2 linked regions of the Drosophila melanogaster genome follow. The protein of the gene in region 1 interacts with the protein of each later gene in a pairwise test. Each region holds a gene or a part of one and is shown on either strand. Other genes may lie near its edges.

Region 1 (15,587 bases):
AAGATGAAGTGGAATTGAGGCACCAATCTTGGGAGGAACATGACCACAGTGCGTTGGTTAAGAGGTGCTTAATCAGCAAGGGCTAATACTATAGTCTATAGTATCCCAAGCTATTGGATACATCAGGATCAGGATCAGGACTCACCTGCTTGAGCGTCAGTCTCGCCGTGTAGCGCAGATCGCTGCCCTCGCGCTTGAACATGGCGTGCGGCTTGTCCCGGATGATGAACACAATGTCGGCGGGAATTTTTCCGGGCGCCTGGTCGCCCTCCTTCTGGAAGGTGACCTTGGTGCCGGACTTCCAGCCGGGCTTGATGGATATCGCCAGGAACTTCTCCTCCTTGCGGGAACTGCCGTCCGCCTGAACGATGCGCCGGGAGATTTTCATTTTCTTAACACAGCCGTGGTAGATCTCCTCCAGCGTCACATAGAGATCGTGTTCGACGGGCGGATCCTGCTTCTGCTCCTTCTTGAACGGCGTGTGCACATTGAAGGAGTGTGATCTGAAAGAGGGCCTGCGAGAGATGAGCAAGGAATTCCAGGGAGTACAACCTGCGCGGGGATGGACCAACCTGAAGCCACTTCCCAGACCATGTCGCGACCCAATGCCGCCAAAGGGCGAGGAGAAGAAATCGGGTTCCGTGTCCAGATCGAAGACCTTCTTGTCGAACAGGTTGTCGCCCATGTCGAAGAACGAGGCGAACGGATTGCTGTTGCCAAAGAACTGGGCGAAGGTGGCCCGCGGATCGCCGTGGAACTGATATGTAAACGAGTTGCTCGACGGACCGCCGTTTCGTGTGCCTGCAAGTCAGCATTTCAAGGTTAGCTATGGGAATGGTACTTAATGGTGTGTTGGCATACCTCCGCTCTTGAGACCATCCTCGCCGTATTTGTCGTACACCTCCCGCTTGCTCTTGTCCGAAAGAACCTCGTACGCCTCGGCGACCTCCTTGAACTTGTCCTCGGCGTTGGCGGCTTTGTTTTTGTCCGGATGATAACGCAGGGCCAGTTTCCTGTAGGCCTTTTTGATCTCATCGTCGGTGGCAGTTTTGGGCAGACCCAGGATTTTGTAGTAGTCCTTACCCATTGCAGGTTACTTCTGGGGGCGGGGGCGAGTGGGTTCTAAGTATGTGGGTAAAGAGTTGACTCTCAAGTTCACTGTAGTCTAGTATCTGCCAATTGGAGTGGGTATGGTATTAGAAGGGATCGCTTCTCTCAGCGTATCTAGTTACCTACAATAATATCAGTTTTGGGTTTCCATATATAACGAGGACCTGCTTAGTTGCTATCCTTCCCTTTATCCTTATAATGGCACATGCATCTTGTCGTTCTCTCTGGCTGTTTCACTGCTCTACTATCGCAAAAGATCTGCAAAAAGTCGAGAAATTGTGTATATATACATTTAGCTGTGTATAGGTAGTTCCATTCGGATCATAAGACGCGTCACTAAATTTCAATGTTGAACCGCCCACGCCTTTCACTAATTTTAGACCGGCCAGCTAGAAGTATTTATTCACTTTCCGGAACATTGAAGCTCTTCTATGCGCACTTCTCACCACCCTTACCAAATACACACACTCTTTATTGATGGATACTTTAATATATAATATAATTTAACTCAGCCATTTACTTAATATTATTAATATTTTCGCTTGTTTACAGCGATGAGAATTGCTCGCGAGCCAATTTGCATTGACGATAACATCTCCGAGAGATCTGAAGATCTGGGGTGTCCAATTGAGTTTAGCATGAGCCATTTGAATTGGAATTGACGATGACATTTATGACATCCCGAGATCACTGGGGTTGGAACAGCCCGTCGAACTATTCGTATGGCTTGATCAGTTGACAAGTCTATCAGGGGCGTGGAGACAGCTGTAACATAAAACTGTTCCTGCTTCGATCTACGAAACTGCGGTTTCCTAATAAATCAATCTACTGAAGATCACTGGACCTTTCATCGCGAAAAGTTAATCATCTTGGGAATCTGACAGAATCTGTACACAACCACAACAATCATGCCGCATTTATAGTTATAACTGGGCGGGAATAAGATTTTAAGGAGGATGGAAATAAAAAACATCGACTATAAATTGTCTGTATATAATACATATATTTACGAGTAGTTTATCTCTTTTGTTTTTATGATCAACAGCTATCATAACATCTCGGCATTCTATGATCCATGATAAACATGATGATCGCCGAGATCTTAATTGCACTGAGAAGGCCTGTCATCACTCAAGTTCAAGATCGCGTCCCGAAAATTCATTAGCATTCAAGATGTCAACACTCGGCCGGCAATCCGTACTCGAAACGCTCTCCAGCCTTGGACTTAACTGATTTCATCTTGGAATATCATTTCGAGATACATAGCGTTGACAATTTTGACGCCAAATGTGCGCCTTGAGTTGAGATTTTCATGGGGAGGGGAACGAAGCACGCAAGATTTGCTATTGGCGATATTGACAGCGGGCGATTGATGCGATCAGCGCCATTCCAAACCAATCCATTCCATTCCCGTCCAGAAATTAGTCAGTCATTGCAGTCATTGTGCACAAAATTGCCGGCGGATCGCGGATCGTGAGATACATTCCGGATCGCTTCCAAATGTGTGCCATATTGAGCGAGCAGGGGACAAGGTCGCAGATATTTTTGATATTTTTTTCTGAATTTTCCCCCGACACACTGCCAACATTTTCGTTTATTGAAAGAAAGTTTTTCTGTCTTTTTAGCAAATAAATAAAATGAGATATGCGAGAGATGTTACGCAAGGCGCGTTTATGCTATGCGTTTTATATGTATGTTTTGCATACTCCGATAATTGAATTATGTATTTTTTAACGGCGGAGATTTTCGCACGCGTTTCAATAATTCTCTTTATGATTCTTTATTGAATTATAGCCATTGTTTCGTGCAAAATTGCGGGCTTAAGGTGCAAAATAAATTCATGCCGATTGGAAATTACTTCGGCCATAAAAAGCCGCTTTTTATGGCAGTTACAACATGTTTCGGGTGGGCGGAGCCACCCACTTCCGCATGTATTATTCACCAGACACTGGCGGCAGCTCATTTATTGATTGCCGAACAACATTTGTTTAACAATTTATTGGACGCTGCGTTATTAGTGAATTGCATTTGCAACGTTTCATTGTCATTTCGTTGCATGCCGCACCCGGTTTATTGCATTTTGCAAATCTGCATTTGCATTTCTTTCCACTTCTGCCAGCATTATAAATTGTCGTAGGTTATGAGAGGCCAACTGGGGCTGGAGGAAATGAAAACTGTTTGTGTCCCCGGATTGCACTAATTGAATTGAACTTGATTTATTAGTGCGCGACTCGGCAACTTTAATTCCCAATCCCGTTCGGTGCCTCAACTAATGCCCACATGCCAAAATTGAGAAATGGAAATGGAAATTGGAATTAAAAGAATCCGAATTTAATAATGAACGAATTTCAAATTGGTGGAGTGATTTATGTGTGGCCATTCGGATCTCTTATTTATTGCCTGGGGCCTGAGGTTTCTCAGATAAAATCACTCACTAATGCCACAGTCAACATTTGTCTCCTCGGATAAACAAACCCGATCGCCACTTTAAACATTCGAACCAGAGCTAATTGATTGATAAATAGGCAAAAGTTTACTTGAACTATATACACCAGTTTTTTGGATTAGAAGAGCTCTTTCGTTACATCTCTTACTTAAGCAAAACTTCATTACCAATTTGTATCTGATAGATATATATATGTTTGTATATTTCAAAAAAGTACTTGCCAGCTTTTTTTTTCATAATAATTTGTAACTTTCCGTTCATTTATCTTTTGCTACATTCCACAAATCTGAGCATTCAAGGTTGTCAAAAATCTTGATCCCATGAATCTCATTCAAGTCCAGCCTTTTACTCTCGCTCTCAAAGATACGAATGCGAATCATGTTTTTTCCCTTTATTTGTATTTTTCAAAGTCACCAACAAAAGCCATTCATTGTCAACTGATGGCGATTGGCTGAATGGCAATGTTTTTGGCCTAAAACCATTCGAAACCAACCAGAAACCGATCAAACACCGTGAAGTTTGTTCACCCACACTCAGAATAAAAATGGTTGCGACAAGAATCGAACATTCGGCCGTGACCGAAGGCAAATCGTTTAGGCCAAGCAGCATTAGATGTCCAAAAATCCGCCCAAGGTCTAAGGTAACTACCAATTTCTGGGGTGGGTGTTTCCAAGTCGCAAATCCGCTGCAAAAATAGGTCCAATGACTAAGCGAGTTTACCTTTGGACGCGGAGCAAGTCGCCCACACAATCCGCAGCCAAACATTTTCGATTTTGGAGAAATGCTACTCGTCGTTTGGACAAGTGAATCAGCACTCAGCCATTTCCATGGGATTGGAGGTGATTCTGTTTTTCCGGCGCGGTTTATCTTGCAGATGAACCTCTGTTTTCGCCGGAATTCGTGCTAATTTGCAAAGAGCATTGATTTCTGGGCGGCAAAACATGCAGGCAAGCATTCCGTTTCCGTTTATTTATGCAAACAACCATTTTGCATAGAATAACTATTAGCAAAGATTTTTAAATTCAAATTGCTGCCTCACCAAAAGATTGAAAAACTTGTTTCAGCTGTTTGGAATATGCGTTCCTAGTGCAAAAATGGTTGTTGATTTGTTGGGCACTCTGATTAAAATAAGTTGCAATGATGTTTACTCAGGCTTTTAGTAGAATTATTTGCAGAGTATTCGGCTTATGGAACATTGAATTTATTTAATTTACAATTTAATACACTTTTTTGGATTTCAGTTAGCTTGCCAAGTGAGTGAATCTTCCCAAGTGAGTGATGAGCTGTATTTTAATTTCCGCTCTTATAAACAGGGTTCATTAATTCATATAATTAAGACGAGCTTTTTTTAGCTGACGACTGAGAGATTGAAATTAATCAATTTCCACAAACAAAGCCGCGAAAGTTTATTTCCTTGTGTCTTTCGCCATAATTACTTGCTTAATTGGCGCCAGCTCTCACTCTCGTTTTTTCTTTTCGAAAAACGACGAACTTTGCATGTGTTCTGCGGCTCGAAGACCGTCAAAACAATTCTGCGACCACGCCCCCGCCAGTCTTCCGCCCACGCAGCAGCTGTTCGAAGAGTGGCAGCGCGAAGAAATGCGAAAAGTACTCTCCTCCGCATATCTTTTCTCTTCCACTCGCGAATGTGTCATAATTTATAAATACTGGGCAAAAACAAAAAGCCAGCGGTTCGAACAGAGAGATTCTGGTGTGATTATGATTAGCGGCAATCATCAGAGTTTTCCTTTTATTTTTACACTCTTCGCTGGTAATTTGTTGCCACTTGGTATTGGCCACTTGCCTTGGTATTTGTATTTGGCTGGGACTTTAAGTTTGGAGGCCAGCAGTCTTTTTCGCCAAGTGCCTTCAATCATAATCGGCTCCATTGTGTGTTTACTTTTTATTTATGATTTTGTGGCCAGCGAATTTGAGTGTTTGAAAAATGAGGCAATAGTTAGTGGACATCAAAAAAAGCAGAAATACTCATTTGAGTAGTTTATTTATGGGATTATTTTGGAAGGTTCGTTTGGCTGAACTCTATACACACTAAGTACTACATTTTGTGTTTTGAAAGTGATTCCCTCTGATCTCTCCACATACATATATTCCCCGATTTGTGGTCCACCCTAGGGGCACCTTTAACTAAACCGAATTTCAAAAACACAAATCACTTCACACATTGTGAGCACACTGTAGAATTTAGAATGGAAGCCCCATATGAATATTCCAAAGAATCGGCATGAAGATTTCGGAAAATAATCAGGCAAACTGAACTCAGCAGCAGCGAAATTGGTGAGAACAAAAAAAAAACATATACACAAAAATAACTAAAAGTGCTAAAAATAAAACTTATTTAAAGAAATGAAACCATGAAATTCAAAAACACACAGGCCAAAGCCAAAAACGATGGCAAATACAAAAATATAAATAATATCGCTTTTGGACTTGGCAGGTATACTTGGCGTATACTTTATATAAGGGTTTTTTCGGTTCTTTCCGCTCCCCGCGAATGCTCCAATCGGAATCCTGGCCACAAGCAAAGGCGACAGCGCCATAAAAAGCACGATTGTTTGTCGACTTCGAAATGTTTTTTCATTTTATTTTATTCGCTTTTACCACATTTGGCAAACGAAACGAGACAAAATCACACACACACACACACACTAGCCACTCCAGCACTCACACAAACGCACACACACGCACAGCAAGTCCGTGATTAATTGTCAGTGGAAAAGCAATAAATTCGGGTGGCTCCTTACAATCGATTGGCGGCTGATCGGGCGTATGCTTGATATGGACTCGCAATCCTTTCGACGGCTTTCAGAATGTATTATTAGCGCGGGCTTCTCGCTGCCAATTTACCGCCAGATGCGTGCAGCACTACCGTTAGTCAGTGGTTCGAATCCGCGACAGAAACAGCGATAAAGTGGACGCGACAACGCTTGGGGACTCACTGAACGATCCACCGAACCAGCAGCAGCAGCAGCAGCACCACCACCACCACCACCACCGCCACCAGCACCAGCACCACTTCACTGCCCCGATCTCGCGCTCCCGCTCTCAGAGATCTCGAGTCGCGGGTATCTCTTGTCCCCCAGAGAGTTCAGTCCAAAACAGATATGCGCCAAGCACTGAAGAGAGCTCCGAGCCAAGTGGAGAGGTTTCCCAATCATCTCCATTCATACCGCACACCTACTCTAAGAACGGACGAAAAGAGGCCGTGGCAAAGGCGAAAATCAAGTAGAATATCACAAATTGGTCGGTCGTTCCACGCGAGATCCACGATCGCCACCGATTTGCACTATGCGTCATACTATGGCTACATGGAGCTTTTTCCCATAGGTAACAACGAGTCGAGAGCTTTACGCAAGAGCGGAACAAACGTGGGCAGAGCAGAGATGAAAACCAGTATTCTGCTACCCTGCTATGGGGTATGATAGACTAACCTACTAACCTTAACTTTAAGCAAAAAAATAAAATAAGCAAAATAAATTGTATCCACACAGTATGATTGAATTTTATGATGTAATTTATTTTTCCTTTTTTATTCTATGTCTAATTAAGTATTTATTCTTATGAAAATAACTTACATGACATTTGACATGTAAAATACATGAACGTATGTGTCAATTAAGAAATGCCTCTTAGTCGGAACTTTGGGTTATCAAAACACAAAGGTTGCTATGTGATGATGTTAGCTGGAGGCCACCTGCTCCTCCGCCACGTCCTCTGTTTCCCGTCTCTTTTCGGTCTTTGGCTTCTGGTCCTGCTCATCAATCCTCTCCGGATCCGCAGGCAGCTGGATGTTTACGGCAGACAGAGCTTCTCGTATCCAAGCCGGAACAGGTTCCGCCTTGAAGTGTCTCGCCATAAAGTCCGCGACGAACTGGGGGAACTCATCGCGCTGAATGGCCTCCCGCATGCTCCTCATCAGCCTGAGCTGGTAGGCCACGTTGTGTATGCTCAACAGGGAGCTGGAGACACTCTCGTTGGTGGCGATGTGGTGCAGGTACGAGCGTGTGTAACGCCTACACGTGCTGCAGTCGCAGTCCTTGTCAATGGGCTCCATGTCCAGTTTGTACTTGGGCTGCTTCAGGTTCAGCTGCCCACTGTCCACCAGGGCGCAACCAAATCGAGCTGTCCGGGTGGGGAAGACACAGTCGAACATATCGATGCCCAGGGCCACGCAGACCACCAGATCCGCCGCAAAACCCACGCCCATCAGGTAGCGCGGCTTGTCCTTGGGCAGATAGCCAGTGCACACGTCCACCATACGCCAGAAGTCGTGCTTGCTCTCGCCACCACTTAGCCCGCCCACGGCGAAGCCTCGAACCTGGCGCTCCATGAGAGCGGAAACGCAACGCTGACGCAGCGGCACATCCAATCCTCCCTGGACGATGGGGAACAGCGACTGGTCATCGTCGCGGGCATGGGCCTCTATGCAGCGATCCACCCAGCGAATAGTCCGCTCCATGGCCTCCTCCACCCGGGGGCCAGTTGTTGTGGTCTTGACCACATCATCCAGCTGCATCATAATATCCCCACCAATGGCGTTCTGGATTTCGATGGAGTGCTCCGGCGTCAGCATGCACTGGCTGTTGTCAAAGGGCGACCGGAAGTTCACACCGTGCTCATCGATCTCGGCCAGCTGCAGCAGGGAAACCATCTGAAAGCCACCGGAATCTGTTAGAATGGCCCTGGGCCAGCCCATAAACTTGTGCAGACCACCGGCTTTCTTCAGTGTCTCGATTCCGGGCCTCAGGCCCAGGTGATAGGTGTTCCCCAGCAGAATCTGGCAGTTCAGCTCGATGAGCTGGTCCGGCACGATGCCCTTCAAGGTTCCCTGAGTGCCCACGGGCATAAAGACCGGGGTGTTTACCTCGCTGTGCCTGTTTAGGAGAGTTGGTAATGCGGCTTAGTCACAGTTTTCAAGGCCTATCTTATTGCAGACGCTCACCTTAGGGTCATCAGTCCCGCCCGGGCTTTGGAGACGGAGCACTCGGCCACGACCTTGTAGGTCAGCGGAGGAATGTGGCTGGGACCCATTGAGTTAGCAAAGTCCAGAAAATTCCCCGTGAAATGTCTTATGTTTACGCGCAATACGCCGGCGGTGCACGTTTCAATCGCGATTCTGTGTGACCACTTCGCTGAAACCGGGAATATACCAAAATCCTGCGCGTGGCTATCGATACCACTTTGATTGGTTGCCCGGACAAATATACACCTACTTGCGTATATTGTCAGTTAAGATTACCCATTCAGATAGCAATTGATTCCTGCGTGGAGGTCACGATGTCGACGCAACAGCAGCAGTTAGACTATATAGAGCGCCACCTGGTGTACGACATCTTCAAGAACTTTGGTCCGAGTGCTTCGCTGGAATCGCACAGCGTTGAGTGCTCCAATGGACTGGACGGCTTCATGTCCGCCTTGTACACCGTTACGCTGGACGTGGTCATCGCCGAGCGCAAGCGGACGGAGGTCGTCCTGGTCAAATTCATGAAGGGAACGGAAGAGTTCCGGGAGAGCAGCAACTCGTACATCCAGTTTTCCAACGAGATCTTCGCCTACGCCGAGATCCTGCCCGCCTATGAGAATGTGCTTCGGACGAGTCACCTGGAAAGCGAAGTGGTAAAGAACTGGGTTCCCTGTTGCTACTTCGCCAGGTTTGGCCACGTTGAAGGTGCGCATCCCACAAAGACTTTATCCATGACTACATCGAATGTTTACTTTTCTGCAGGTTTAGGGAATGGTAGGGAATCGGTGCTGGCCCTAAAGCATCTCAAGGGCGATGGCTACCAATTGGGGCCAAGGCTAACCCTTCGACGGGATCAGCTGGAGGCCATGGTAGGACTAGTGGGTCCGTTCCATGCTCTGGGCTACGCCACGAAAATCCTCCAGCCGAACGTTCATGCTCGTTTGCGCGCCGGAGTGGTGGACATGCCCTTCGTGTCCAGCTCAGGAAAGGGCATCTTTGATGTCCTCTATCGCGTGGCTTTCGATCGGTTCTACGAGTTCTACGACCGGCAAAAGGAGCAGCTCCTCCAGGGGGCAGACCCCGGATTCGGGGCCGCCATCGAGCGACTGCGGGAGAAGTACTTCAAGCAGCCAACTCTCCTGCTGGAGAGAATCCGCACCAGCTCCTTTGCCGAAGATCAACCGGACAGCCACTTTGCCACCTTTCTGCACGGCGACTACAACAGGAACAACGTGCTGTTCCACTACGGCGCTGAAGATAAGGTGGACGCTATCAAAGCCATCGATTTCCAGGAGCTGCGCTTCAGCACTACGGCCATTGACCTGAGCTTCTTTATGTACATGAACACGCCATCCGAAGGAAGGAAGGAGATCTACGCCGACTTGTTGCGCAAGTACCATCGAAGCATGATCGAAATGTTGGAACTGGTTCTGCGCCGAAACCGGAACGAGTTGACCGACGATCGGGTGGACCAGTTGCTACAGGAATACAGCTTCGAACGCTTCAATGCCCACTTCAAACGATATGCCTTCTACGGACCAATGGTATGCATGCACTTCCTTCCCTGGCTGCTCGGCACCGAGAAGGATTGCGCCGAGTTGTCCCGCCTCTTCGAGACGGATATGCACGGCCCCGCCTTCCACCAGTTGTCCTTGGACATCGCTGGCGATGAGGCGAACCAGGAGATCTTCAAGACCGTTCGTCACGCCTATGAGCATGGCTACATGGACGAGATTTAGATTCCCTTGCACAATTCCATACTTAAAGCATTTACAATTTAAATTTAAACCTAATTTGAGACTGTATTTACGAACTATTTACAATTTGAACTTCGCAACTAATGCTAAATGAACGCGACAAGGTGGAGGAAGTGTAATCGAGGTAAACAACAATGCTTAAATGCCCCTATATTCAAGCGGAATAAAATCATACACTTTAAGAAGAGTCTCAGGCGTTCTCATAACGCTGCTTCATCATCTTTTTGATGTAGGATTTGTAGTCGTTCCCAGGCGCCATATGGCCAGTGTTGTTGCCCAGCCCCACGTTGTTAGAACGACCATCAGCCTGTGGATACACATTGACATTGAATTATCCATATTTTGCCATTCGTCGCCCTCGTCGACTCCTACCTCTATGATCTCGGTGCGTCCCTGGTTCTTTTTGCCCAGTCCCTGGCCCTCCGACCAGCCCATCTTCTGCATCAGGCGGCTGCCCACGTTGGTCGAACTGATGGGCATGGCTGCAGTGGCGCCAAAAGAATCCTTCTGGCGCGACTGCAAAGTCTTTATCTCTTGCTCGAAACGCTCCCGGCTCCTATTTGGTGGAGGAGGATCGCTCTCACCGTACTTCAGCCTGCGTTCCTTGGCACGATCACGATAGCTAAGTACGGGTAAGTAAATTAGTGAGTTTATCTCCATTCTAGCAGCATATTCCCACTTACGATAGACCCTCATCCGTGCCAGCCTCAACTGCGGGATTCCGTTTAAGCTTGTCCAGATTCTCCTTGTGTAGATTCGACATTTTCAAATGCTTCTGCAAGATGTCCAGCGATTGGAAGGCACGCATGCAGAGCAGGCAAGTAAGTTTTTGGAAGTCCACGTAGTCAGATTCATCGCTAATGGCTCGTTTAGTCCCAACGCTAGCTTCAAGTGCTTTCTGATTGGCACTATTATCATCTTCCGAGTCAGAAGGTCCTCCATAAGCACCAACCAATTTGCTTATCGCTGGAGGTCCTGCCTCCGGTACATAGTCGTTGAGCTTGCCAAGCTCCTTCTTCTCAAGGATTGAGAATCCCACATCAGCATATGCCCCTTGGGAAGCACGGGAGGTGGTGGCCGCCTCAGTATCCGACAGGATAGGCTGCGGCGTTGCCACTGCTGTGTAGTCCTTTTTTTGGTTTAGCTGCTTGGCCCACTTCTCCATGTCCTTGACGATCTTCTTGGCCACCTTCACCTTGTCGGGCTTCCCCCCAGCTTCCTCCTTTTCTTTTTCCTTCTCCTTTGCCTTTTTGGCCTCCTCCTCCTTTTTCTCGGCATCGGCTAATACTTCCTTGAGGGCTGCCTGAGTGGAAGCGGGTGTGGCCAGCACATAGGTGCTCCGCTTCTGATCCCAGTACAAATACGCGCCCGTCTCGTTGTTGTAGTAGTACTGCGAGTGGGCATCATAGTAGAGTCCTGTAACGTGGTCGTAGTAGTAGCCGGAGGTCTCGTCGTACTGGTACTTGGACACATCGGGAGTATCTAACCATTGAGCATGAAATATTCGACATTACAGGAGCGCATAGATAGAATAGTGTGCGCTCACTTACCGTATTTCTTGCCATCATTCCCCTTGGGAGCACTTTCACCCCTGGCAAGGAAGGCGACCTTCGCCTCTGTCACCGAAACCGTGGTCTCCATCTGGCTGACCTTCCGTTGCTTGCGCTGGATGGCCGAGAGAGCAACGGCAGCGCCGGAGTTGGCCTCCGTCACTTGACGATCTCTGCAGTTCTTGCTTATTTCAGTCGTGTAATAATCCGTATAGTACTGGACGTAGTTAGCATGCTCCAACGGATTCGAGGCATACACGGATGCACTGTACTCCGCAAGACGAGGCACATCCGCCAAAGTGTAGGCCGCCGTAATGGCCGACGGAGACATCGCTGTTTCACCTGCTCTAAAAAAGTTGCCTTCGGCTGGCATCATTTGACGGTTTTCGGAGTCAATGCAGTAGGTGACGATAACTGAAGGGCATGGATTAAAGTTTTGTTTTTTAATTATGAAATAATTAAGAAGTAATAATTTACCTGTTTTGTCGTCCAGAGTGAGTGGCGGATCCAACGCCGTCAGCCCGTTGAACACGTTCATAGAATCAATGAGTGTGTCAAAATTGAGGTAGCAAATGCCCCGAGATGCATTGGTTAGGGCGTCGCGACTGACCAGCACCTTGCTGACTGTTTTGGCCAGTTCGGGCAGGCGCTGCTGAAGGGCAGTTAGCACGCCCTCCTCGTTTGTCAGCGCGTCCAAGCCGCGAAGCATGATCTCTGCATGGGGAAAGCGTGGCAGGTTAGTGGGGTATTTAGCTGATTAGCTAGGAAACGGCATTGAAAGATATTGCTCATGGTGGATATACTTTTTGTGAGGATTTGGCTGATCTCGTCGACGCCCTCGCCGGCTCCGTAAAGAGCATTCTCGCTCTCCGCCCGCGACGCATTGCACATGTAGCATTGGAAGCGGCGCTTAAAGTTGCTGGCACCACACTGAAGGATGGCGAAAAAAGCTAATTATTGTTGCCAATCTGTATCTTAACGGAGCATACCTTAATGCAAGTCCAGTCTGAGATGCGAGTGTGACTATACTGCATGGTGACACGATGATCGCCCAGTTGGAGGACTCCCTGAACGGAAAAATAGAAGAGGTAAAATTGGAATTAGTAACTGAAACTGCTGATCAGGCAAATCGTTCACAGACTACACAGTCACCAAGATTGCATCTGTGTTTTTCGACATCACGCAGATGCTGGTTGCTTCCTTTACGTAAGATTCGATTCCGCCTTTGAGTTCAGTTCCCTGATCTAAGACAGAAAAATGGAAGGGACAGGCAGCCCACCAGCAGAATTGAACTCAAGGCACACATTTTTCAACAGTTGATGCCAAGCTATCGGATCTTGCCGTCATTTCTATTTTGGCGGATACGAGAAGATTCAAGATTCTTGTGGTTTTTAGGGATACCTGGGTTAACTCCATCCAACGAGTCGCCTCCTCAACGGTTTTAAACTCGACAAATGCAAAACAGCGTGAGGCACCTAAATTTTAGATAGAAGTAGATACGAAAATGTTTGGTCAAAAAATGTTGGTTGTATCATTAGCATTGTGTCATTTTTGGGGATTGTGTTTTTGTTTCGGTTTGTAGTTTTCTATATGTTTTTGCTGATGTCGAAGCCAAGTATAATTGAAATTGCTATAAGTCCTACATCGAACATGTTGCTGGGCACGCAATACTCACGCTTTCTCTACAATTTCACTTTAAATCGAATGTAACACACGGAAATGTAACCCACCTGTTTGTTGCTTCCTCATCACGCGAATGGATGTGGGCTCCAGGTCGACCTTGATCAGCTCGCCCATGATCTGTGGAGGATTACTTGGTTAATTTTACATTCGTTCTGCTTATCGCTTAAACATTACGTCTGCTTCCGTGACGTGCTTCTTCAGACCGAAGAGGATTATGTTGTTCAAGGGCTCAACGCTGCTGCCACTGTTGTAGGCACCTCTCTGCCTGAATTCGCTGGCCATGTCGCTGTCCTCGTCCGAGGAACACCGTCTATCTCGATCGCGCTCCTTCTCGCGATCTCTGTAACTGCTGCTGGAGTTACTATTTCCATTATTATTGAACTGCCGCTGGTCATTGCTGCGGCTGAAAGGAAAGCGATTCTTTAAGGTCATACAATGAGCACTTTGTCGAATAAATTTTCGTTCGGTTCGTTTGAAACCATCGTTTGCATACTATCCACTGTAATTAAAGGCATCCAGCATGAATATTTCATAAGATGATTTGTATGCATTTATGCGAACAAAGGGAAGTGTACATTACTGAATGGGTTGATTTCTAATTATTTTGACTTTTATTACAAGTGATTAGCAAATGAAAGGTCTTTTAAACTAGTGAAAGAGGAGTCCTCCTTCTTATGGAAGCCTTGTGAATGGAAACATAGAACTTAGCTTAATCTTAATCTCAGTGATAACACTGAGCACGATATGGGTAATATGCAATATGTATCATTTCTTACCTGCTGCGCTCCGATCCCCGATCGAAGTCATCATGGTTGCGCTCTCTCGAAACGCGATCGTAGTTTTTCCAGCGGTGATCGCGGTCCTTATCCATATCCTGGCCACTCTTGTCGTAGTTGCTATCGTGATCCCTGCGACCCTGGCTATCAGCATGCCGACGATCGTATTTGTCCTCGCCGTGGCGCTGGTCAAGGTTCTGTCTCGAGTTGTAGTTTCCCTGATCCTCGTAATCCTCGTTGATCAGGTCGCGGTACAGATCGCGATCCGGACTGCGGTCGTTTCTATAGTGTGAGGACCGCTCCCGACTGCGCGAACGGGAGTTGCGACGTCTGTACTCATTGCGGTCCCGACTTCGTTCCCTGAAATAATCGCAATTGGTAGTAATCCACTAAGAGGCTCCAGGTGGACAAAGGACTACCTACCTGGATCGGGATCGGGAGCGACTGTAGCGTCTGTAGCCCGATTCGCTGCCGTTTCCGTTGCCGCCCGAGAAGCTGTGACCATATCGAGAATCCATATCTAATGCGAATCGATTGTAATTAAATGCAGTGTTTGTGATTTGGCCTTTTGCCATTAGATGAACCGTCTATGTGCGCACATCTTACTTGGTTACCACGACTGTAACAGGATTGGAAGCTGGTTAAACTTGTTCCCGAACTGGAAGTCTCTTTGCATTCAGGCAGAAACAATCAGTTATCCGGCCAAAAAAAAAAACCCGAATAGAAAAATTCTCGGTCTTCTTTTTTGCCGTTCACCCGAAGTATCTGACTGCCAGTTATCGATAACTGACCGATAGCTCCAGGGCTACCAAGTGCCAGCTAACAGTTGTTTCCCAACACCAAGCAAATTTAAACTTTACACCGTTACATTTTATTTTGTACATTCGAAAAAGGATTTAAATTCGCTTAATCAGAAACTATTAACTAAACGGTCACACTTGCTCGTGGACTTAAAAAAACGCCAATCTGTTAGGAAAACAATGCTCAAGAAGCTTCATATATAATATGGAAATAATTTTTGCTTCGGTTGAAAAGCTGAATTAAACGGCGACTTTAGTTGAAATGAAACATGTGAAACGGCTAAAAACCAATTTCTCAAGCATTCTCGTAGCGCTGCTTCATCATCTTCTTTATATAGGATTTGTAGTCGTTGCCCGGTATCATCTGTCCCGATTTGTTGCCCAAGCCCACGTAATTGGAGCGTCCGTCCGCCTGAGGGAACCCAAAATGCTTAATTTTCTTAATTCATTTTATAGCTTGCCGTCAGCTCAGTTACCTCTATGA
Region 2 (16,369 bases), on another chromosome or scaffold:
CGAATCCAGCAGGCAGTGCATCGGAGAACTCTAATTCGGAAGGCTTTAATATGTTTATCCAGACGCAGCATGGCTCTACGCTTCTCGACAAGTTTACCCACAGTTTGATCGTAAAGTGCACTAGCGATCATTTGGACACTTTGCTACTCACCCTGGTGCGCGAATTGCAGAACGCAAGCGTGTCCAATCGTAGCAAGGAAGCTGAGGAAGTAGTGCGTCGCTTCGTGCGTTCCGTAGCACGCGTTTTTGTCATTTTCAACCTGGAAAAGCAGCCTAATCCGGAGAAGCGAAAGTCGCACTCATCCTGCAACAAATACGTGCAGAGCTGTGTTAAAGTATTCCAAACGCTGCACAAGATATCCATCGAGGAGTTATGTGAGGTATCCGAGGCTCTGATCGCTCCAGTCCGACTGGGCGTTGTGCGTCCAACAGCTCCGTTTACGATGTCATCGTCGAATCTGGATGTACGTGTAAATATGACCAGCCTTTCTATAAGATTATAGATTTGCGACCAATCCATACTAATTTAACTAGTTTAATGACAATTATCATATTCTTTTAGAACTCTGACGATTTGTTCAGCGTTGATCCTTTAGCCCCCTCTAACGTGGAGTCTCCTTCTGAGCAAATACTTGTCCACGATGCTGGAAACGATCAGAGCGCCAATTTTAATATTCAACAAAACTACGATGTAGTTGCTATGGAAAGTGAGTAGTTTTCTTATAGTTTTAGAAAATAGCTATATGAAATTGTACAAACCCTTATGAAATGTACATTGAAATCCAGCTATACGCGACGCCTCCGAATCGGAAGAAGTTATAAACCGGGAGGCTAATTCCCACAATCAAGACGATGAGCTAATTGAAAATCAACGAAATGAGGACGGCATGCAAGATGACGAGAGCGATAATGACTTTACTTTCAATGACGCCGAGACTGAGTCCGACTCCGATGACAACCAAAGCAATCAAGAGGTGCAGAGGAGCGTGCAAGCAGGAGCAACCGTTGGCTCAGAAAATGGTTAGTTTCTTGAATTTGACTTAATTTTCTATTTACTTCATTGAATATGTTTTCTTTTAGACATTGGTGTTCTCTTCCTAGAGGATGAATCGGGAGACTCCTCTGCCCAAGAAGAAGATGGATCGGAGGATGGCGAGTCCGACGATCAGTCCGACGAGTTCAATTTCAATGAGCAGCAACTTGAACGCCGCTCTACCAACTCGAACGCTCGCAGCGATCTGGCTCCTCAAACGATGCAATGGGCCATACGCAGTCGTGACACTGCGCGCTCCTCCGTGAGGGTGCCCACCGGGTCTAATATGGTTTTTATTGACCCCATGGCTCTGCGCCGCTCCACTGTACCCGCCAGCACTACAGTCACTACCCCATCGATTGAACCACACACCATGGCGACAACGGCCAGCAACTTGGCACGGGCTTTCGGAATCACAATAAGGCAAATATCCGAGCTTATAAGCATTTTATCCTATAACGTACTAAATGACATCGAAACATCATTAAAAATTCAAAATGATGAAGCAATCGCAGTCCAAGTAAGTACCGAATAAAATAATTCCGAAATGAATTAATTTCGCTCTGCGTACTACTGAATATAATTGCAATTTAAATTTAAATTTTACAGGCATTTGTGGAAAAGCGTTTAAAGGCTACGTGGGATTGGATGTTTACGGTAATGGACGGTACCGAAGCACAGCTAAAGTTCGGAGCTTATTTGACCAACTACACGGATCCCAACCATCCGCTGCATCCGCTCAACCTAAGTGCCCAGGCTTCGAGTAGCCAGACTCCGGCTCCTGCCACATCGTCGTCAGTTAATGGTGTAAATATTATGGGTAAGTAAGACCATGTACTTGCTTTACGATTATTACTAAGTTTCGTATCCAAAGGATCCAATTCACGCCGCGACTTCTTCACCTACTGTTTATCCCTGATGCGCTCACACACCTCTGAGCACCGAGACGCCTTGCCAGTGTTGGATATAACAGCCTTGCGGCACATTGCCTATGTACTCGATGCCTTTGTCTACTATATGCGCAATGATTCAGGCTTCTATGATAAGCAAGATACCATTTCTGGCCGTATAAACAATTTGTCACCTATGACTGAGAGCTATGATACGGACGACGAGTTGGCTAATCTAGAGGAGTTTAACGCCGATGTTCAGATGTCCGCTAGCAGCATGCCTTCAGGAAGCCAGGGCACACGCCGCCATGCATTCTTTGCTCGATCTGAATCGACATTAAGCTTGGGCTGCTCAGCGCCAGAAGGCTTTGAATTGCCACTGGATATGGCCATGCCTCTCGCCGATAAGCCGCACTTGCTACAACCAAATTCTAAGCGTCAGGAACTCTTCGCAAACCTACCGCTTCTCGTGACCACGAATGCCAACAACAGCGGTGCCACTAATGATGGTGATGGTGGCAGCATTTTTGATTATACTCCAACTAGACTGGGATTCTCGAATTCCTTGAAAAGGAACGAGCGTGTTTACGAAACAGTCCCGATCGATTCTAGTAAGACGGGTGATGGAAATGTAACTAATAAGGCTGAGGGCTCAACAGACTCTAATATTTACGTACAATTAAAGAAGAAACAGGGCTCGGATGATTTCAAATCCCACAAAGAGGCTGACGGTGAGTAAGAGTGTATGCGGTAAACAATTTACAAACATTAAATTTTCAATCCACAGGCAATCAAAGCAAGTACGAAAAAGTCGTATTAATGGAAACTGATGACAGTCTTCCAAGTACAAGTAAATCGACTGAAGCATTAATGGCCACACGACCAGAGGTTATCATAGCGCCAAATAAAGCCTCAGTGTCGCCAGCGACTGCCGCTCGCAGCGTCATAGTTCTCGCAGGTGGTTCCTGTTTAAAGACAATTGATTCCGACATAAACAACTACTCGGCTTCAAATCTATCGACCGCAGAACAAGCCAAATGTGATACACAATATCAAAAGTCAACATCAGACCACCTGTTATTATTTCCTGCTCGTGGTTCTCAGTTTTACCAAAGTAATTTTTCGGAATTGCCGTCGTGGAACTTTTTACTTAGCCGCTGGAAGCTAACTCTGGACTTATTCGGTCGCGTTTTTATGGACGACGTCGGAATGGAACACGGCTCTGTGCTGCCGGAACTGCGAGGCTTTCCCGTGAAGGAGATGCGTTTCCGTCGCCACATGGAAAAATTGCGCAACGGACAACAACGTGATTTGGTGCTTTGCAAGTTGGAGCGCAATCGTGAAAGCTTAATTGTTCAAACGTTCAAGGAACTGAATACCCAGTTTGGCAACCAAAGTCGGCGCATCCAGCCGCCCATCACATTCAACAGAGTAAAGGTGACATTCAAAGACGAGCCGGGCGAGGGATCGGGTGTAGCGCGCAGTTTTTACACATCGATCGCAGAAGCATTGCTGGCCAGTGCTAAGATCCCCAACTTGGAGTCCGTACAGGTGGGCACCAATCATAGCAAGTACGTAGTGCCGTTCTCGAGCATCCTGCGCAGCAGAACAGTATCGGGGTCTAGTCGCGATCAGTCCACTCTGCAGAGGCGTGGTTCCAACAGCAAAATATTGTGGCGTTCGGCCCGTGAGAGGAAGGCATTGAATTTGGATGCCAGACCGTATACTCCACCAAATAGCTCAGGTAATCTATAAAATCAATCTTGTTCTATGTATTATATTGACCCACTTATTGGAACTGCAAATTTAGATAATGCTACGCCGGAAAGCCTGAATGATCACTTGTCCGTTCACCTACAACAAATTGGGGAACGTCTTTACCCGAAGGTAAGCGAATTAATCCAATTGAAGTTCATAATATTAACAGTCCGACTTGATCAACAGATCCATTCGATAAACCAAACGCATGCACCGAAGATAACAGGAATGCTGCTGGAGATACCCACTCCGCAGCTCCTGTCCGTAATTTCCTCAGATGAGACGCTCCGTCAGAAAGTGAATGAAGCGATAGAAATAATCACGTTTAAACAAAAATCTGAGACCAGTGCACAAAGTAGTCAACCAAAAAAATCACCATCTGTCGTGGTAGTGGATCCCGTTGATGATGATAATGAACCATTATTTTACTCACCGGGAAAGCGGGGCTTTTACACACCACGCCAAGGCTTTGCATCATTCGAGCGCATTAATGCATTTAGAAATATTGGAAGGTAAGCTAAGTGCTCCCTTATTCGATTCACTGCTTTAACGCCGCCTATCTCTTTTCTCAGACTTATTGGACTTTGTCTACTGCAAAACGAATTGCTTCCACTGTTCCTACAAAGACATGTACTAAAATACATTCTTGGGCGTAAAATTAAGTTCCACGACTTGGCATTTTTCGATCCAGCATTGTACGAATCTTTTAGACAAATTATTCAAAATGCCCAAACAAAGGAAGGCGAGGAAACTATAAATCGTATGGAGCTATGCTTTGTGTAAGTAATCCCACCTTACTTGATAGTTTAGGCTCTAAATAACCTGCCATTTCAGTATCGATTTGATGAAGGAGGAGGGCTGTGGTAACAGAGAGCTTATCCCAGGAGGGCGCGATGTCGCTGTCACATCGAGTAATATATTCGAGTACGTCAGACGCTATACAGAATATAGACTAATCAAATCCCAAGAAAAGGCACTGGAGGTATGGGCAAATATTGCGTAAAAATGTATAGCCTTATTACAACAAAATATTGTCTACCATTCACAGGCACTGAAGGACGGAGTTTTTGACGTTTTGCCCGATAACAGCATGATTAACTTAACCGCTGAGGACTTGCGTCTGCTGCTAAACGGTGTTGGTGATATAAATGTTTCGACACTAATTTCATACACTACCTTTAACGACGAATCTAGCGAGGGTCCTGATAAACTTTTAAAATTTAAGAAATGGTTTTGGAGTATTGTGGAGAAAATGAACATTATGGAACGCCAGGATTTGGTAAGAAGAAAGATGGTCCAATGAGCTTCAAACATTCATAACAAACACAATTCTTGCAGGTTTACTTCTGGACCGGCTCTCCTGCGCTTCCAGCTTCGGAGGAGGGATTCCAACCATTGCCATCTGTCACCATAAGACCTGCGGATGACTCCCATCTACCGACTGCGAATACTTGTATCTCTCGGCTGTATATCCCTCTTTACTCCAGCAAATCTATTTTACGCAGTAAAATGCTGATGGCCATTAAATCCAAAAATTTTGGATTTGTATAAGCGATTGGAAGTCTTTCCCATCTGTATAAGCTTCAAATTCATTTCTTAATTAACTTTAGTTTTTTTTTGAGTTTCGACTTTCGTCATATTTAACCATACCATTCCCATTTCGGATTATATATTGTTTAAAATTTATTCGAATTTGAACAATTTGTACGTAACATTATTGAACAAGATTGGCTCGGGTCATGACGGTCTTGCTTGACCCAACGTGTAGTAAAAATATGAAACTCCCCAACATCCATTGTAACCAATAAAACGGCCAATTAGGTAATAGGAAGCCTATGTTTTAATTATTAAACTTTTAAATAAAATATGTTTTCTAAAGTATGACTTATGCACATGTATATTTATCGATATCGATTCAATAGAAATTTGAAGAAAAAACCAATAAAAATAAGTCCACCTTATGGAAATTATGTATGATATAAAATTGACTTCTATTTCATTTGGAAAAATTTTCCCTTGGACTAACAAATAGTTCAATTCACAAAGATTAAGATTTTTCATTTATTTAGTTTAGTCATAATGATAGGCTATAATACCGAAACATCAAAGCTGTACATAATCCAAGCTTTTGATAATAAAAATACATGCTTAGCTTAACCTAGAATTGCATAAAGTGCACTGCAAGCACTTGGTTAGTTACATTAGACTGTTGTCCTTATAAATATTCGAGGAAACGCAATCTTCCTAAATACATTTATACACAAAACAATAAGGTACCACAAATAACTCATAAAAACGAAGCACATTAAATTAAAAACGACTACTTCCCCTTATCAGCGACACAAAAAAATATAAATAATAAACAGGCAATGCGATTATTCAATGATCACTGGGAACTTCTCCACTTCCTCGCATTGCTTGTTGAAACTGGTGACGAACTGCTCCAATTTAGCCTCATGCTCGATGTCTCTGCGTGGCCGTTTAACGTGATGCCGCTTCTTCTCCGGAGAATCCAAGCTCTTGTCGTGCGAGTCCTGCTCGTCCTCGTCCTCACTTTCACTTTCGATGTACAATATCTGCACTCGCTTCTTTCGCTTACGTTGCGGACGCTCCTTCACATAGGTTCGTCTGGGTTGCTAGAACAGGTTGAATTTTTAAAACAATTAGGCGCCGTTTGCCAAAATAAAAGATTTCAAATGTTGTATACAAAACTACAGACTTACGACTAAAATTTTTATTTGTGTGAGCGGCTTACTACCGATCAAAGAAAGACTTAAATCTTTGCGGCCCTGTTTGCTCAACTAAAACGTTAACGTCTCAGTTTTAAGTTAATCTAGCGTTATGAGGTCAGTGTCTACACTCACTGTTTACAGTGTCGACGCTTTCCCAACGCTTGGACGAACCCATTACATAAATCCTACCTTATCGGCAAATGATTGCTCCGGCTCGTCCTGGTCAACCCTAAACAATCCCATCGATTCCCTAGCAGTGGGTGCAGCAGGTTTCCGTTTCGCCGGTCGGGGCGGCGCAATCATAGTGGAGCACAACATATATCTGATGTCGGTTTGCTTCGAATGTGATTCGCCCAGGCAATCGGAACGAATAGAGGTATATGATACTTGTGGAAGCTCACCATCTCTGGGTCGCAGCTCCGCAAGACGATGGAGCTTATCATGCAGATTTACATTTTGACTCAGCCCCGTGAAATTGGCTGGCGAATCTTGGCTTTCGGTGATAAATTCATCGAATCCAAAGAGGTTTTGTGAAGATGATGTTCGTTCTTCCGTATTCGTTTCCTTTTCTTTTGGTATATTTTCACAGGGCAATATTTCGTTGCATCCGAAAGTATTTACTTCCGTTTGATTACGATTAGCTAAAGCAGGAGTCACTTCTCTGTTTAAGGACATACTGGTAGGAGCGATACCTTTTGAGGGAGTAGTTGACTTTCTAGGTATATCTTCACATGCAAAATCATCATCGAAACCAAAAAGATTCGACCGCGTTTGACTGCGTTGCGCTGGGGATGACGTCGCCATTGGACGAGGTGCCACTCTGGTAGGAGTGATTTCTTTTGAAACAGTGGCCGTCACGTTCTTCTTCCAAGACGGCAGTGTCACTACTTCTAGTATGTTAATATCCTTAAAGGGCGTTCGTTTCTGCAGCGTTCTCCGAGGATTCGGCAGGTGCACAAAGTTCTCCGCATTCTCTTCGCTTTCCTGGTCATTGATCGACATCGATTTGCTAATTGTGGGAGGGGGACGGTTCTCCTCATTCGAGTCGTTCGCATTTGAGTCATGATTTTGCTCGTGCAAAGGCGGACAAATGGATTCCTCGTGAGGGATGTTCTCAGCATGCTCTACCGGCGAATCTGGCACATAGACATGCCGACGTTGCACATGATCACTGGAGTACGATGGCATCTGGGAGTTGTTGAAACCAAACATGAAAGTATTGGGCAATGGTGAATCGTCGGAAACGCGCCAGGGGGATTTGCCTCCCGCGGTCCTAACTGCATTTGGAGACTGGTGGGCAATAGGCGACAATGCAGTGGTGGTGGCACTAACATCTGTCACCGGAGGAGCTCTGCGATTCAGCGGCGTGCTAACCAATTGTCGCGCCATGTTGATAAGTTCTCGACGTCTGTCTGTAGATGGCAGTGGATTTTGCGCCTGGGTCTGGTTAAGCATTACGGATCGGGCCAAATTACTGTAGGCTCCTTCGTGCGCTTGCTTAGAAGTGCTCGGCTCCACATGTACCTGGACGGGCACTTCGATGGGCTGCACGTATCCGTGCTCCGAATCGTTGCTATAATCTTCCTCGGGCTCGAAAATGGTCGATAAGGAGCGTGATGGCTTTTGAAGGCGCGGTTCTATGGACTTGGGAACGACCTTGACTGGCTCAGGCTCATTGTCTTTTGTCGAAACCTTTCTTCGATTACCCACAGGTCGGACCTTCTTTGCTGTTCTTTTGGCTCTCGGTTTGCCGATTTTTCTTGACCGCACCATTACGCAGGCCTTTCCATCCTTAACCAAACGCTGAATTATGTCTGCCGCCGGATCCTCCCTGTCACTGTCATCTTCGATCTGCGACTGCGACAGAAAATCGAAAACGTTGCGGGTCACCGATGATCGTGTCCTGGTTAAAGGCTGATCTCTGTGGAAGAAACGAGGTGGTTTTTTGGGCGAAATCTCAGCTGCCGGTCCACTAGGGCTTTTACTCCTTATGCGTTGCTGACATGGCGATGTTTCGGGACCTGCAAGTAGTTGTGCTTATCAAGAAAAGTCCATCATCCGCCTGGTGAGAGCCTCTTACCTGCCACATTTTCCTTGATATTTTGGGGTTGCGTTGATTTCTGTACCTTCGAAGGAATGTACATCGTCGAGTTGCGAGCCGGCTCAAAAGTGCTGGCATCCACATCAGGCGCATCATTTCGAGAAATTTCGGATACGACACCGTTTTTTACCTTAATGCGCCTTATTTTTACCACGCATTTTCTTATGCGACACTCTGGCTCGTTTAGGGCTGTCAAAGATTGTTTGTTTGATAGTTTCGTGGGACGCCCGGGTTTTCGTATTATCGTGGTCAAATCAGCTCCGAGTTTCTTGGGACGCCCGGGTTTACGTATTGTGGTCAAATCAGCTCCGATGGACAGCTTCTTGGGACGCCCGGGTTTGCTTATCGTTGTGCTTAAGTCAGCTCCGATGGACTGTTTCTTGGGACGCCCGGGATTGCGTCTCGTTGCGGTGTTCACATCTGGCGACGGAACACACGGCACCGGCCGTGTTCTTACCATTTTAAGAATATAATTTGTTTACCAAATGAAATTCATGTACAGCTCCCGCCATTTTATTTACTAGTATGACCATCCCCCGATCTCTAAGACTTGCCATGAAAACCACTGAACACCAGTAGGTGTGAAGCTTGACTAACCAGCTAACCGAGACACTTTTCAACACTGAGCGCCAGGGACGGAGCACCGATAGTTGTCGATAGGCGGACAGAGAACCAGATGATTGGCCTCGCAATAATGTAAAAAATAAATAATTAGCTGTTTCCAAATAATCCAAATTCCAAATTCCTTGCACTACGATCCACCGTGCGTGTGTTCGTCGCCGTGAATGTGTGCGGGCAGTTTCGTTTCACGCGCCCCAAGCAAGTACAGCTGAAAATTGAGAAGGAAAGCAAGAAAGAAAACCCCCCAAACTGAAAATCGAGTGAAAGTTTTCTCATCGTCTTTGTTTTGTAATTGTGATTTTCCTGCCTGCTGCCAGCGCTCATTACTGGCAATATTGGATCGACGTCGACATAGTGTCGCTGCTGCGGGCGCGGGTGGCCGACGGCGACTATAGCAACTACACCTTATAGCTACTATAATACTAATGCTATACTCGCGGTCCCTATTGTGATTGTGTTATATATTTAAATCGACTCGATTCGAATCGAATCCAATCGCTGTCGTGGTCGCAGTCGCATTCGCGTTTTCTGGGACTGCTGCAAAAGGCCTTGCGATTTTCTGCGCCAGGTACTGTGTAAAGACGTCGATGTGGGAAGGGGGGTGGAGGCGGTTGTGGGATGGTTGGGATGGCACGGGGCGAATCCCAATAAGAAACTAGCGCGAAAACTGGCATACCAGCGTACATACATACGTACGTACATCGCACGCGACACATGCCATACATACATAGGCGAATTATAATGGCAACAAATAAATGCAACCGACCCAGCAGTTGAACCACTACCACCTATACCACCACTACTACCAAAACCAGACCCTATCCAATTCATTCCAATCCAATCCCAGGCAACGAGAACCCGAAGGCTGACTGTGACGCCAGTGGGGGAAATGGAAATGGAGCCAAGGCAGATGTACATATCTGTGGATGTATCTGCGAATTATGTCTCAGGGTCAAGGACACTGCTTCTGCCTCGCTAACCGTTGTTTGACCTTATTAACGAGTCGGAAGTGGTGGATTCGCCGCTCACCGACTTTAGGGATACCCTTTCGGTTCGCTTATCCAAAGAATAGTAGCTTAGTAGATACATTCATTGGTAGATAGTTGTCCCCCAAAACGAGTCATGCATATAGTCTTTATACTTTGCAAAATAAGTCAAGGTAAATTGAAATGTCCTCCAAATTGTAGATTTCCCTGCGTACTTATAAATCCAATATTAGTTTTTAGATAATCTTTTTCTTTTGAATGCAACATCTCATTAACTTCCGACAAAAGTCAACATAGCTATACATTATTGATCAAACTCTTCGTATCTTCAACCAACTTCGACTAAAATGATTGTCTAAGCTTACAATTGTTCAGAAATTAAACTATTTTGAAGTAAAAAAGGCAGCCAGGTGGATTTGACTAGTAAAAGCATATTTTATGGGATCCCCTTACTTGGTGACACTCGTGTATCCCATATCAAATATTCAACGTATGATCCCTTTCTCCTTGGCAGATCAACTGCATTGGCCGGCTCCGCGCATAAACAATGTGCGATACCAAAGACGATGCGCAGAAATGGAAATGTGAAACTTGCACCTACGAGAACTACCCATCCTCGCTGAAATGCACCATGTGCCAGGCGTCCAAGCCGCTGCTCAACGAGGACATCTTCCGGTATGACAACTCTGACGATCTATACCTAATCTTCTGCTAATTAATACTTGCTAATTCTTGCAGTCTGAGTCCAGCCCAGGAGAGCTGCACCGTTGCGGAGGAGGCGGCTGCCGTCGAAGTAGCCGTAATGTCGCCCACACCTTCGTCCACGTGCTACTCGCTCCAGCCGCAGAGCCAGGCACGGCAGAGCAACGTGGCGGACAGCGAAAAGTGGCCCTGCAAGGTGTGCACCTATCTCAATTGGCCGCGGAGCCTGCGCTGCGTTCAGTGCTGCACGAAGCGCGGTGGCGAGGCGATAGAGCGTGGCAAAAAGGACATGGATAACGAGGCGGACGGGGATCGTGCAGGAGAGGCGCTGCAAGCCCTTCGCATCAGCGGCTCGGAGGAGAACCTGGCCAATAAGCCGGTTCAGCTCATCGGCGCCACGGCCTCCCATCGTTTGAGCCTTAGTCGTGGCATAGACGATGCGACCCATCTGAACAATCTCGCCAATGCGTCTCACAACCAGTCGCAGTCCCAGCACCGGCAGCCTGTCCTACAGCAGCAGATGCAGCTCCAGCTGCAGCCGCAGCAACAGCGGGAATCCTCATCCTCCGCCGCCGTCCCGCCGCAGCAGCAGAAGCAGTGCTATGTCTCCAAATGGGCGTGTAACGTAGGTTTTCATATCCCAACCAATTCGCTCAGATGTACTTAAAGTTAGAATTTTCCTTAGTCTTGCACTTACGAAAACTGGCCGAGGAGCATCAAGTGCTCCATGTGCGGCAAGACGAGGGAGCGGGAGATTAGTGGGTCGCAGAACGACTTGCACGCCTCATCCAGCCTAAACAGTCAGGAGGAGAATCAGCAACAACTGCAGCAGCCAAACGTGGATACCGTCAGCGTCAATAACTCGTTCAATAAGAAGCACATTTACCAACTGGGTAAGAGTTTTTAATGTGATTTCTCTGGGTATGACTAATTGATATTCACTTTCCAGGTTCTTCGGAAACCATCAACAACTGTGATACGCTGCAAGAGCGTCAGGAGCGCCGCCAGCGTCAAATCCGACGACAGGTGGACTGGCAGTGGCTGAATGCGTGCCTGGGCGTCGTGGAGAACAACTACAGCGCTGTGGAGGCGTACCTCTCCTGCGGTGGCAATCCAGCCCGTTCGTTGACCAGCACCGAGATTGCCGCCCTCAACCGCAACTCGGCCTTCGACGTGGGCCACACCCTGATCCACCTGGCCATTCGTTTTCATCGCGAGGAGATGTTACCGATGCTGCTGGACCAGATCTCCGGTTCGGGGCCGGGCATCAAGCGTGTGCCGTCCTACGTGGCTCCCGACTTGGCGGCCGATATCCGGCGCCACTTTGCCAATACCCTGCGCTTGCGCAAGTCCGGTCTACCCTGCCACTATGTGCAAAAGCACGCCACCTTCGCCCTCCCCGCCGAGATTGAGGAGCTGCCGATACCCATACAGGAGCAGCTCTACGATGAGCTGCTCGACCGCGACGCGCAGAAACAGCTGGAGACGCCGCCGCCGGCCTTGAATTGGTCGCTGGAGATCACTGCTCGCCTGAGCTCACGGATGTTTGTACTGTGGAACCGCAGTGCTGGCGACTGCCTGCTGGACTCGGCCATGCAGGCCACCTGGGGCGTCTTCGATCGTGACAATATCCTTAGGCGGGCACTCGCCGACACACTGCACCAGTGCGGGCATGTGTAAGTTAAACGAATTTGTTTTAACAACCGTCAGCTTATTAATAGTCTTGATACTCTTATTGTAGGTTCTTTACTCGCTGGAAAGAGTACGAGATGCTGCAGGCTTCGATGCTCCACTTTACGCTGGAGGACTCTCAGTTCGAGGAGGACTGGAGTACACTACTGTCATTGGCCGGCCAACCCGGCTCGTCCCTGGAGCAACTGCACATCTTTGCGCTGGCGCATATCCTTCGTCGGCCGATTATCGTTTACGGCGTGAAGTACGTCAAGAGTTTTCGGGGCGAGGACATTGGATACGCGCGTTTCGAAGGTAGCTATTAATTTTTACGTCGCTGTATTGCATTTATTTGATTGCCTTATTTCTAGGTGTCTACTTGCCTTTGTTCTGGGATCAAAACTTTTGCACCAAGTCACCGATAGCACTGGGCTACACACGTGGCCATTTCAGCGCCCTGGTGCCGATGGAGCCATTCACTCGCATCGATGGGCGGCGTGACGATGTGGAGGACGTAACCTATCTCCCGCTAATGGACTGCGAGCTGAAACTTTTGCCCATACATTTCCTTACACAGTCGGAGGTGAGAGCTTATTCAAATATCCTGTAGAACATTGTGAGCTTAGACATTTCCGTTCCTTGCCTGCAGGTTGGCAACGAGGAGTCAATGATGCGTCAATGGCTGGACGTGTGCGTAACTGATGGAGGCCTACTGGTGGCGCAACAAAAGCTAAGCAAGCGTCCCTTGCTGGTCGCCCAGATGCTGGAAGAGTGGCTAAATCACTACCGCCGCATTGCGTAAATATGACTTGCTCTCCTTCCGGACATAGACATGCTAATTAAACCTGTAAACTTTCTTTCAGACAAGTGATAACGGCGCCTTTCATTCGTCGCCCTCAAATCACACATTACTCCAGTGATGGCGACTCGGATGAGGAGTAGAGGATATGATGCGGCACATCCGTCACCCAGCTTCTGATTAGGATGCTGTGCATAGAATTCAATATCCTTATTTTGTACTTTTGGCGATCGTTAGCAGATTTTTGAGACAGGAATAACAAGTGCAGATCCTACACTCTTGCACTCGCAGCTAGCTAAAGGAAACTATAGAGAATACATATGCATATATGCAAGCAGTTGAAAGTTGTAGTTGTAACTAAATTGAAAGCAAACTAAAGGTTAAGTAGCAACGTACGAAAATAGATTGATCGACGTATGTATATCATATCCGTTCCCAAGTCAACGTTCGTTGATTTTAGTCAAATTTATTCACACTGGGTCGTCGAGGCAATATAGACCACATTTACTACGAAATTGAAGCTATACACTGGTAGATTTAATTACACTCACATGTGAAACAATCCATTAAATGATTACGTGTACGAAAGGCAGATGCGAATTTAAGCGGTGGAATTTGTACACCTATGTACGCGGTAGTTAATGTGAATACCCAAGCTCCGGACTTAAAATATTGCAAATCTCAATGTACTATTAAATTTTAAATGGGTGGCGAACACACAACATAATTATGCAGCGGGTGAAAATGAAAGCGTCATTGAAATGTTTATTGATAGTTTTTAAAACACTTTTTGGAATTATTATGAATCATTATACATTCATGCCTATAAATATAATATCTATAATTATATAACATATATAGAAATCCTATGGTTCTAGACAGTTGAACAAAGGGCCAATAACATAATGAATTTTATTCTTATTGTATTATAAATGGAATTTTATCTCATTATTATTTTTGTTAGTAATGTTATTACAATTATTATTATTAACTTCTAAGAAAGCTTATTGTGCAAATGTACACGCAAAACGCATAAAAAAAATCACTTATTTAAATAAAAGTTTTAAGTAAAGATTTAAACGGAAACAAAATGACTATAGTTGAATTTATTTTAATAAAGTATGGACTTTCCTACTTTATTGCCCAAACTAACTTTACTAGTAGATAGATAAAAAAAAGTAGTTCATTATTATTTCTGTCTCTATAAAGTACAAAGTAAATTATAAGCAGCATCATTTATGGAATTACTTGTTATTTTTATAGATTATCAAATTTATAGGGAACGGTACAGTGGCACGAACGGTGTCATCACTAATACATGCTCTTCCACAGCCGAGCTCCCCACCTTTCCAATTGTAGCCAAGTTTAACACCCAACCGCTATTTCCATACGAAACTTATCTTTGGGGTTAATTTTAGTGTATTCTTGGAAGCACGATGTTTTTGCCATCCGAGCCGTATCTCTCAGATACTTAGTCGTCTTTTTGCTGCCGTCGGTTTCGTTGCTGGTGCGGTGCGGTGTTTTTTTGCTGGTCGCAGCTCCGATTTGAGAATCAGACATTCAGGCATTTCAAAAAGGCCACCATTTTCCGCTGTGATCTTTGTCGTCAAATTTAAAGTGCGAGACCACACCAAAAGCAAATCGCACATTCGTCATTCGAGCTGCGAACGCATTATTAACCACACTCCTATCCAGACTCACACATGTTTACAGTCTAACAATCGTGCTACGCAGATTGCGAATGCATACGGCGAAAGATACAAATAGAAAAAATCTTAGCAGAAGAAAAATTTTGTTAGTGAAGTGAAGAGGAAGTAGTGGTGACCTGTGCGCGAGTATTTGTGCTTTCCCCGTGTGTGTCTCTCTGTTCTAGTGTGCGTGATTCCCTCCCCCGTTTTGCAGGCGAAAAAGCGAAGAGCACAGCAGTATATAGTATCTCGCCATGGGTAAGTTATCTGCCGACAAACACAGATACTGTCTCTCTCTCTTCGATTAAGGTGTGTGTGTGTGTGTGTGTGTCTGCGCAAAGTTATCGAAAGGGGGTGGTGGGTGGTGCGATACCAGCATTATGGCATTATCGGCCTTATCGCATCGTAGGAGTGGTTCATATAGCGAGAGGGCAGAGGGATAGTAGCTCAGGTGGTCTCTCGCATGTTCCCTCTTCCCCTTCCCCATCCCCTTCCCTGCACCTTCTTCAACCACTGCCGGTGGGTCATCATCAATCAATACTGGCCAGCTGAGAGTCGGATCGCTCTCACCAACACTGCCCCACTCGCATATGATTGTAGTCCACGTCCACTCCCTATTTTAATTTCTCAGCTGGGATGACGTCAGTGTTGTTGTATGAACAAGTTTCGTGTTCGCTTCTTTACTTTTTAACTTCATAACACTTTTCGGACTAATTCGGGGTGATATTGTCGCTGAAGGGATCTGAAACGCTGACCGAATAAACCTCAAAGTGCTTGTGCAACTGCAATTACACACGATACCGTTAGGGCGTCCCGTCGTGAGAGCCGCTCTCGAATAACCCGCAAACATAAACCTGTAAGCCTGCCAAACCGAAACCGTTCTTCAATGTGCATGTGAATGGGAATGAGAATGGGAATGGGAATGGGAATGGGCCTGCCTTTTGGCGTCGGATTCCTACATTTTCCGCCTTCCATTCTCGAGTTGCCGCTGCAAAGGGCTTGCGTATACCGCTATTCGAGACGTGTACTTGTGTTGTCAATGATTAATTACTCGGCTACTCCGCTACTGGCCCTAATTAAGTTCATATGCATGCACTGCCCTAAAAATGGGTCTCGTTTTCTGTGTGTGTGTGTGTGGGAAAGAAGAATGGTTACAGCTTTCCGAAGTTGAATCTTATCCATTCAATCTTATTGCACACTTTTTGAGGCATTAAGAAACGATCTCAAATTTGCAAAAATCACTTGATGGCTTACTCAAATGTTTGGTTATTTTGAAAGCTAAAAAATTTAAATTATAGTGAATACATATAAATAAACAAATCTACGATTTAGCTATTTGGAAAACAGCTTAGCGTGGAATTGATAACCCTTATAGCTCACTAAAGTAC

The links.
Region 2: the proteins of CG5001 (region 1) and dmt interact in a two-hybrid assay, tested with the Drosophila melanogaster proteins (one large-scale study listed by BioGRID).

The regions. Positions count from the first base shown.
Region 1 is NT_033779.5:1,177,184-1,192,770, reverse strand, and holds the start of CG5001 (uncharacterized protein), read right to left. Parts: upstream 7,015-15,587; 5' UTR 6,756-7,014; intron 6,518-6,755; exon of another isoform or gene 6,319-6,517; intron 1,369-6,318; 5' UTR 1,237-1,368; exon of another isoform or gene 1,233-1,236; intron 1,173-1,232; 5' UTR 1,088-1,172; coding exon 862-1,087; intron 802-861; coding exon 573-801; intron 516-572; coding exon 146-515; intron 1-145. Other genes in the region: Tgt (tRNA-guanine transglycosylase), read right to left, coding at 7,254-8,448, 8,517-8,605; CG5126 (uncharacterized protein), read left to right, coding at 8,852-9,242, 9,300-10,276; CG4896 (uncharacterized protein), read right to left, coding at 10,485-10,601, 10,667-10,916, 10,978-11,776, 11,845-12,258, 12,322-12,558, 12,648-12,774, 12,834-12,911, 13,246-13,319 and 4 more; CG4887 (uncharacterized protein), read right to left, coding at 15,399-15,515, 15,580-15,587.
Region 2 is NT_033777.3:9,703,815-9,720,183, reverse strand, and holds dmt (dalmatian), read right to left. Parts: upstream 9,043-16,369; 5' UTR 8,975-9,042; coding exon 8,494-8,974; intron 8,435-8,493; coding exon 6,603-8,434; intron 6,578-6,602; exon of another isoform or gene 6,419-6,577; intron 6,318-6,418; coding exon 6,057-6,317; 3' UTR 5,509-6,056; downstream 1-5,508. Other genes in the region: hyd (hyperplastic discs), read left to right, coding at 1-470, 563-707, 787-1,020, 1,081-1,553, 1,643-1,853, 1,908-2,654, 2,711-3,667, 3,734-3,810 and 5 more; trbd (trabid), read left to right, coding at 10,669-10,796, 10,860-11,448, 11,509-11,716, 11,773-12,499, 12,565-12,809, 12,866-13,077, 13,144-13,292, 13,358-13,436. UniProt on the Drosophila melanogaster protein: Regulator of sister chromatid cohesion in mitosis. Probably involved in development of the central nervous system.